Macaca mulatta: one gene and its partner. The protein of the gene in region 2 purifies or fractionates together with the protein of the main gene of each other region. This does not show direct contact. Links are inferred from orthologs where the notes say so. Each region holds a gene or a part of one and is shown on either strand. Other genes may lie near its edges. The genes, in order: NIPSNAP2 and PRKCZ.

Evidence for each region.
Region 1: the proteins of PRKCZ (region 2) and NIPSNAP2 purify together in Homo sapiens (affinity purification with mass spectrometry; 3 studies listed by BioGRID and IntAct, counting the BioPlex papers as one, with this or other methods). This does not show direct contact. The link is inferred for Macaca mulatta from reciprocal best matches to the Homo sapiens genes PRKCZ and NIPSNAP2.

What each region holds. Positions count from the first base shown.
Region 1 is NC_133408.1:72,026,620-72,031,106, reverse strand, and holds the start of NIPSNAP2 (protein NipSnap homolog 2), read right to left. Parts: upstream 3,014-4,487; 5' UTR 2,989-3,013; coding exon 2,897-2,988; intron 1-2,896. UniProt on the Homo sapiens protein: Protein involved in mitophagy by facilitating recruitment of the autophagy machinery required for clearance of damaged mitochondria.
Region 2 is NC_133406.1:238,497,216-238,500,079, forward strand, and holds the end of PRKCZ (protein kinase C zeta type), read right to left. Parts: exon of another isoform or gene 1,618-2,864; coding exon 1,502-1,617; exon of another isoform or gene 1,277-1,501; coding exon 1,189-1,276; 3' UTR 808-1,188; downstream 1-807. UniProt on the Homo sapiens protein: Calcium- and diacylglycerol-independent serine/threonine-protein kinase that functions in phosphatidylinositol 3-kinase (PI3K) pathway and mitogen-activated protein (MAP) kinase cascade, and is involved in NF-kappa-B activation, mitogenic signaling, cell proliferation, cell polarity, inflammatory response and maintenance of long-term potentiation (LTP).

The DNA of each region.
Region 1 (4,487 bases), on a different chromosome or scaffold from region 2:
AGCAGCTGGGCATGGTGGTGTGGGCCTGTAGTCCCTGCTACTTGGGAGGCTGAGATGGGAAGAACCCTTAAGCCCGCAAGGTCAAGGCAGCAGTGAGCCATGATCATGCCATTAAACTCCAGCCTTGGCAAAGGGCAAGACTCTACATCTAAGGAAAAAAAAAATCCTTTAGTCGTCCCCTTCACTAACAGGTCCGAGCCCACATTCTTCATAGGAATCCAGACGAGTATTGCTGAGGGTTGAGCTAGGGCAGTGGCGATGGAGAGGGTGGATTCAAGACATACTAGAGGCAGAACTGACAGATTTGGTAAATGATAGATGGTGGGAAAAAAGACGGATGGGCTTGGGGAAGACAGTCTGGCTTCCGGCCTGGGCCACCACATGGAAAATGTTTCATGACTGAAGAAAAAGTATCCAAGAGAAGCAGGCTTCGTGGAAGGAAGAGGAGTTAAATCCTGGGTACAGCAGTGTTTTGAGCACCTGTGAGACATTCAACGTCCAGGAAGCGGCTGGGGATTCCAAGTTTGCTGCTAAGCAGCGCTAAGTGAAATATGCTGGCTAATGTACAGGCAGGGATGAGGCTCCCAGGAGGATGCCCCTCTTGCTTGCTGAAACTGATCCGGCAAGGTCACCCACAACACCCCTGTTGGCAAATTCTGTTTTCTTCCATCATTTTACCTAACCCTTTGGCAGCAGATGGCACTCCCTCCCTCCTCCTGGCCACTGTAATATAACAATGACCTAGCCAGTTCCCCCTCCTACATTCAACCTGTATATGTTGCACGTCCCAGGGCTTGCTTTGCAGGCCTTCACTCGCCACACTCACGCCTCAAGCAATCTCACACATTCTGATGGTTTTTTGTTTTATTTTGGAGACGGTCTGGCTCTTTCACCTAGGCTGGAATGCAGTGGCATGATCAGCTCACTGCAACCTCCACCTCCTAGGTTCAAGCTATACTCCCACCTCAGCCTCCCAAGTAGCTGGGACTACAGGCACGTGCCACCATGCCAGGCTAATTTTTGTATTTTTTGTAGAGATGTGTTTTGTCATGTTGCCAGGGATGGTGTCGAACTCCTGAGCTCAAGCGATCAGTCCAGTTCGGCCTCTCAAAGTGCTGGGATTACAGCCTGAGCCACTGCACCTGGCTTCCTATGGTTTAAAAAGTTTCATTACACAAATTTTTATTTATGTACTTATTTATTATTAGGGACAGAGTTCCACTATGTTGCCCAGGCTGGTCTCAAACTCCTGGGCTCAAGCAATCCTCCTGCCTCAACTTCCCAAAGTGCTGAGATTACAAGTGTGAGTCACCGCGCCCAGCCTTTATTGTGAAAAATGTAAACCAAATATGAAACAGTATAATGAAATCCATGTGTCTATTAACATTTAGCATTCCTATATACTGACAACTCCCAAATGTTACCTGTAGCCCAGACACCTCCTTTGAGGAGTCATATAGCCAACTGTCTGTTTGCTTTTCCACTTGAATAGCACACAGCCTTCACAAACTTTACCAGGTCCTAAACTGCTCTGAATTCTTCTTCCCCAGCGCTGCTGAATTACTGGTAAGCTCCCCGATGGTCTTGCATGCCTTATTCACTGACGTCTCTCAACAGTCAACAGTGCCTGACACTCATATTTGGCAGAACAAACAACTCTCAGCAAACTCTCAACTCTCAGTGCCAGCGTCCATTCAGCTGGCCACGACCCTTATTTCTGCCCCCTCTCCCAAGTCAGACTCATCTTTTTAAAAAGATCAGGCTGGGCATGGTGACTCACCACTGTAATCCCAGCACTTTGGGAGGCTGTGACAGGTGGATCACCTGAGCTCATAAGTTCGAGACTAGCCTGACCAACATGGTGAAACTCCGTCTCTACTAAATATACAAAAATTTAGCCGGCTGTGGTGGTGCATGCCTGTAATCCCAGCTACTTGGGAGGCCGAGGCAGGAGAATCACTTGAACCCGGCGGAGGTTGCAGAGAGACAAGACCGTGCCATTGCACTCCAGCCTGGGCAACAAGAGCAAAACTCCGTCTCAAAAAAAAATAATAAACCATGTTATTGAAAGCTCCCTGGCCGATGGTGAGTTTAACACACAGTTCCCTTGGTAATTTAAACTACCTAAAGCAATGAATATGAGAAAGTAACTCTGGGTAAGTTAGGATAGGCTTTGCTGTTTGAATGTGGAAAATAGCACACGCAAACGTCAAGGTGAAATTTGGACAACCAAACGTCCAATCCACTGAAGTTAGAGGAAAAAAAAAAAGAAGTTTACACAAGAGCCCCACGCCTGAACACTTAGTGCTGGTAACTCTAAGTACTTTTAGAACCACGGCCGGCTTTAAATTTCAAGTCAAAGACGTGAGTGCTTTGACCTCCTCCAAGCGTTGACTTCCCCCTCCCTCCGCGTAGGGCTGGCCCGGGACCATGCTTTAAGCTTTTATATCCTACTCACAGCACCTCAGAGGCCAGGGTCACCAACGTCCTCAGCAGAGGCGGCCACCCAGGCTTGGAGCAGCCTCCGGCGGGGACCCAGCAGGCGGCGTCTGGGGCCTGCGGCCTCAGGCGCGCGCTGTCCCTGTCCCCGGCCCCGGGTTGCGCCGGTCAGGGCCCTGCAGGCCAGGCCAGCGCCGCGGGGAGGATGTGGCCTCCGCGCCAAGCCTCGGGCGCCTTCTCGGGCGAGGGCGGAGCTGCAGCGCGGCCCGTCCCCGCCGTGACCTTGAGCCCGAGGGCGCCCCGACCCGGACCTAGGTCTGTCCCCACCGCCCCGAGACCGGGCGGCCACCCGCGGTGGGGAAAGGGCCGGGGCGGAGACCCGCGCCGGGAAACCCCGCGCCCTCCGCCTCCCGGCGGCCCCTCCCCGACAGCTCCCGGAAAGGGCGGCGCTGCTCACCGGAGCCTGGGCAGGAGGCTGCAGGGGGCCGCCCGCCGTAGGAGGCCACCGGCCCAGGCCGCTCCGCGAGCGCGTAGCACTCGCGCCGCCATCTTGCTCGGCGCCTCGGCTCCCACCACCCGGGCGCCGCCGCTGACGCCGCCGCCGCGCGACCCCTCCCCCGGCCGGGCCCCGACGCAACCACTGCAGTGCGGGGCGCGGCCGCCAGGGGGAGCAGGGCGCCCGGCCGCGGGGGTCGGCTGGTTGTCCCGGCGCCGAGGTCCGACCACTGCGGGAAAGCGCGAAGCCCAAGCGCAGTCAGTGCAAGCCGATCACTTCCAGCGAAAGGAGTTCGGTGCCCAGAAGCGCGGGTGCAGAAGGGACAAGGGCATAGCTTCAGTGATCAGGGAAAACTCCACAAGGAAAGAGTAACACTGTGCCTAGGGGAATCCAGGTCCTGGGGCGGGGCAGCGGCAGTGGAGTTCCCCCCACACCACCCCGCCAATATCTTTTAAATTTTGTAGTATATGAATATGTTGTCATTTCAAAAAGCCCCACAACGCTCCAGCCTGAGCAACACAGCGACATCCTGTCACAAAAAAAAAAAGAGAGAAAGAAAGAAGGAAGACAGGGAAGGAAGGAAGGAAAGGAAGGAAGGGAAGGGAAGGAGAAAGAGAAAAGAAAAGAAAGTGTAGCAGGAGGAGCCACAGACAAAGCTCCTCAGACACCGGATTAGAGAAGGAAGAGGTTTTTTATTCGTCCGGGAGCCTCGGCAGACTCACGTCTTAAGCGCGGAGCGCCCCAAAAAAGAAATACTTGGCCTTTTTAAAGGCTTACAACTTTAAGGGGTCTATGTGAAAGGGTCGTGACAAATAGAGCAAGCGTGGAAAACGTGACTGGGGCCTACATAAATCAGCTAACAGAACAAAAAGTTTTACAATGGCTTTTTCATACAGTGTCTGGAATTTACAGATAACACAAGTAGTTTAGGTCAGGGGTTGATGTTGTTAGTATTACTTTTTTTAACTCCTAGGGCTGGGTGGTGGTGCCAAGGTTGTCTAGCTATTTATCTTACTTTTGTTTCTTTCTCTCTTTCCTCCTGTCGTGTGAACTAGGCAAGGTGGGGGGAGGAGGGCAGCAGGAGTAGTAGTGGTCTCCTTCCTTAAAAGAAAGTGAGGAAGAAATTTTAACCACACACATACACACAAAAAAAAATTAAGGAGAAAGGACTGGGAGGGTTCTCTTTAGGTCTTGGGACGGCATCATTCCCATTCATTTCAGCACCGGTGGGCACTGGCCATGGGAGTCCTTGGTACCTACCCTCAAGGCCGTCCGGGTCTAGTGGTGACAGAATGACAATGATGATTGGACCGAGTGTGTTGTAAGCATCAAGATGGACAGGTTCATGAGACGTGAAAGAGGCACGGAAAGAGAGCATGTAACCGGGGGTGGCTGTGAATTAGAGGATAGATGGGGAAAAAGTTCCCCAAGGAGCTGGCAGGACATATCAGTCCCAGGGAAAGAAGGGAGGGCATCCCTGGCTGAGGAAATAACTTAAGCAAACGTGTGGATCTGGGTGGCTGACACTGTAGAGGGAAAAATGTATCCTCCA
Region 2 (2,864 bases):
GGCTGCATGGCAATTTCCACACCTGTGCACCAGGCCCCACTCAGAGGCACGAGGTGGTGCGACCCCCCTCCCAGAGAGCTCAGAAGACGGCTCCGCCACACCTGACCCCTGGCAGCCGGCAGACCTGCCTCTAGGAAGCCTCGGCTCTGGGTAGCTGTCCCTTCACCGGAGGGGTGGGAGGACGGAGAGCGCGGGCGCGTCCCGGGAGCAGGAGGGAGCGGAAGGTCCGTGCTGCTGGGAGGATTGCCTGTGTTTCCGGATGTCTGTAGGGTCATCATTTTGAACTTTAAGGCTGGGGTCTGTCACACATACATCTGTTAGTTTTCCCTAACTCTCAGTACTGTGTGACAGGTAAGAATATTTTCCAAAAGTCAAACGCGTTGCACGAGGGATCGTGCAGGCACTGCTTAGTGTGGTCAGAAATGGATTTGTGCAGATTTAGTTTTCAATTTTCTTTTTCTCTTTTTTGGTCTACTGTGCTTTGGTGAGCCACATTTTAGAATCTCTATGATCCAATTTCCCCATCGGTCCAGTGAGCTGGCTGGCCCAGCCGCCACCTGCTTAAGGTGTCACTTCACCCTGAGACCACAGCGGCTGGGCACACGCTCTGCAGGAACAACCACAGGAACTTACCGGGCTTTAGGAAACGGTGCGAGTTTGTACACTTCTTGATTGCGTGTGTCCCCACAGGCACTTACACTCCCGCCCCCACCTGTGTCCTGCTGGCTCCTAACCTGCCCCCCTCCATGTGGCTGTATCGGAGACGTGGGGCAGGCGCCACTCACGGAAAAAAGGCATCAGAGGGGCTTCCACATCATCGGAACTTTTATTCCTCAGGACGCTACACGCTCCCTTTCCTGGCGGGGCAGGTCAGTGCATCGAGTTCTGTTTCCGTGGAAAATGTGCACCTTGGAAACTGCATGACAGCCCCTCAGCAGGGTCCCCGCGGCCACCGCGACACAGGCTCAGCAGCAAGTTCCTCCAGCACGAAGCTGGCCTGCCCGGGCCCAGGTGTGAGGGACCGTTCTGCTCCCAGCAGCGCCTGCCGACGCTTCCCTCCGTGGTCTCGGCGCAAGCGTCTGTCCCTGGCTGCCCTCGGAGCCGTGCCCAGCCTGGCATGCATATGCGGTGGTTAAGGATACAGTTAAAGGGTCAATCACGCATGTCCACGACAGAGACGCAGCGGCCTCACACCGACTCCTCGGTGGACAGCAGTAATGGGTTGATGTACTCGAAGCCTTCGAACTCCGACTGGTCGATCCTCTTTATGGCATCCCTGTGGGCAAAGGCGGCAGGGGGCGGGGGGGATGACCTGTGTTCATTCCCTCTGGGGAGGGGAGTCACATTCGCAAAAGAATCCTCCCCCAACGCCCACCGGAGAGAGGACGCCAGGCGGGCGGGACTCAAGGGCAGGCCGGGTCACCAGCCGCCCAAGGTGCCGGCCTGCCATGGGGCTGCCCGGGGGGGGTGCTCCGGGGTCCCCGCACCCAGTGGGACTTACTCATCGTCTGGGGTCAGCTGCACGGGCTCGCTGGTGAACTGTGTGTCAAAGTTGTCCAGACCGTAGTCGTCCGTGATCTGTGGCTGGAATGGAGGGAGCGCCTGCTTCTTCTCCAGCTTGGAAAAACAAGGCAAGAAGGGTCAGCTCCGCGCGGGCATCATCCCTACCAGATTGAGAGTTCCGCATGCACTTGAATCACAGAATGAAACACTGAGAAACTCAGCATTTCAATCTGCCTAGTATTTGAATGCCAAGTGTTTCTTCTTACAACACAGAACCTAGAAAATCTCCAAAGTCAGAAAAATTGTTGTCGAGCTGAGAGGAACGCCAGAAGTGTGGGCCACGCTGGCCACATGTGGGATGGAGCGGGACCCCCGGCCACCCTTGTGAGGCCACCCCCTTCCTGGGGGTCCTTGTTGAGAGGGGCACCAACGCTAACTGGCTGAACAAGCCGTCTCATGACGTCTTGGAACCCTGACCATAAAGGCGCAGGACCTGCCCACAGCACCCTGCCTGCACTGGTACCGCACGATCCATCTGTCAGGAGCCTCCTGCCGGCCGTTTCCGCCTATCCAGGCATCGACTTCAGAATCTCAGGTGCTGCTTGGCAGGAAAATGCCCAGCAGGTGGGCCTCGGCTCAAGGCTCACTTCTGGCCACTGCGTACTGGGCCTTGGTGATGCACCTGTGCCAGGGAGGGCAGAACGCTGGTGCCTGGCACAGGTGCCACAACACACACAGGTGAGGACAATGAAAGCCCCTCAGTTCCCCTGACTCATGGCCACTTGTCCCAGTGACACAGCTATGCTCTCTCACCCACCCACAATAGGGTCTGAATGTGCCCCCCAGATTCAGTGAGAAACTCATTCCCCAGAGCAACAGTGTAGGAGGTGGGGCCCGATGGGAGCCCTGCCCTCACAGACGGATTCCTGGAGCTGTCAAGACAGCTTGGGCATGGATTCCTCTCTGCCTTTTGCCATGAAGGCACGTGGCCTTCCTCCCCTCTCCCCTCTGGGGAATGCGGTGTTTGGGCACCCTCTTGGAAGCAGAGATCTGGCCTCACCAGACACCAAGCCTGCTGGCACCAAGACCCTGGACTCCCAGCCTCCACAGCTGGGAACAACCTCTGCTTCCTGGAAATAACCCAGGCTCAGGTAGTCTGTTACAGCAGCACCAAGACAGACATTCACGCTCTCCCTCCCTCACTGTCTAACCCACTCCGACTCACGCTCTCCCTCCCTTGCTATCCCACTCACTCATTCACTCGCTCACTCTCTAGCCCACTTTTTTTTTTTTTTCTTTTTGAGATAGAGCCTCGCTCTGTTGCCCAGGCTGGAGAGCAGTGGCGCAGTCTCGGCTCATTG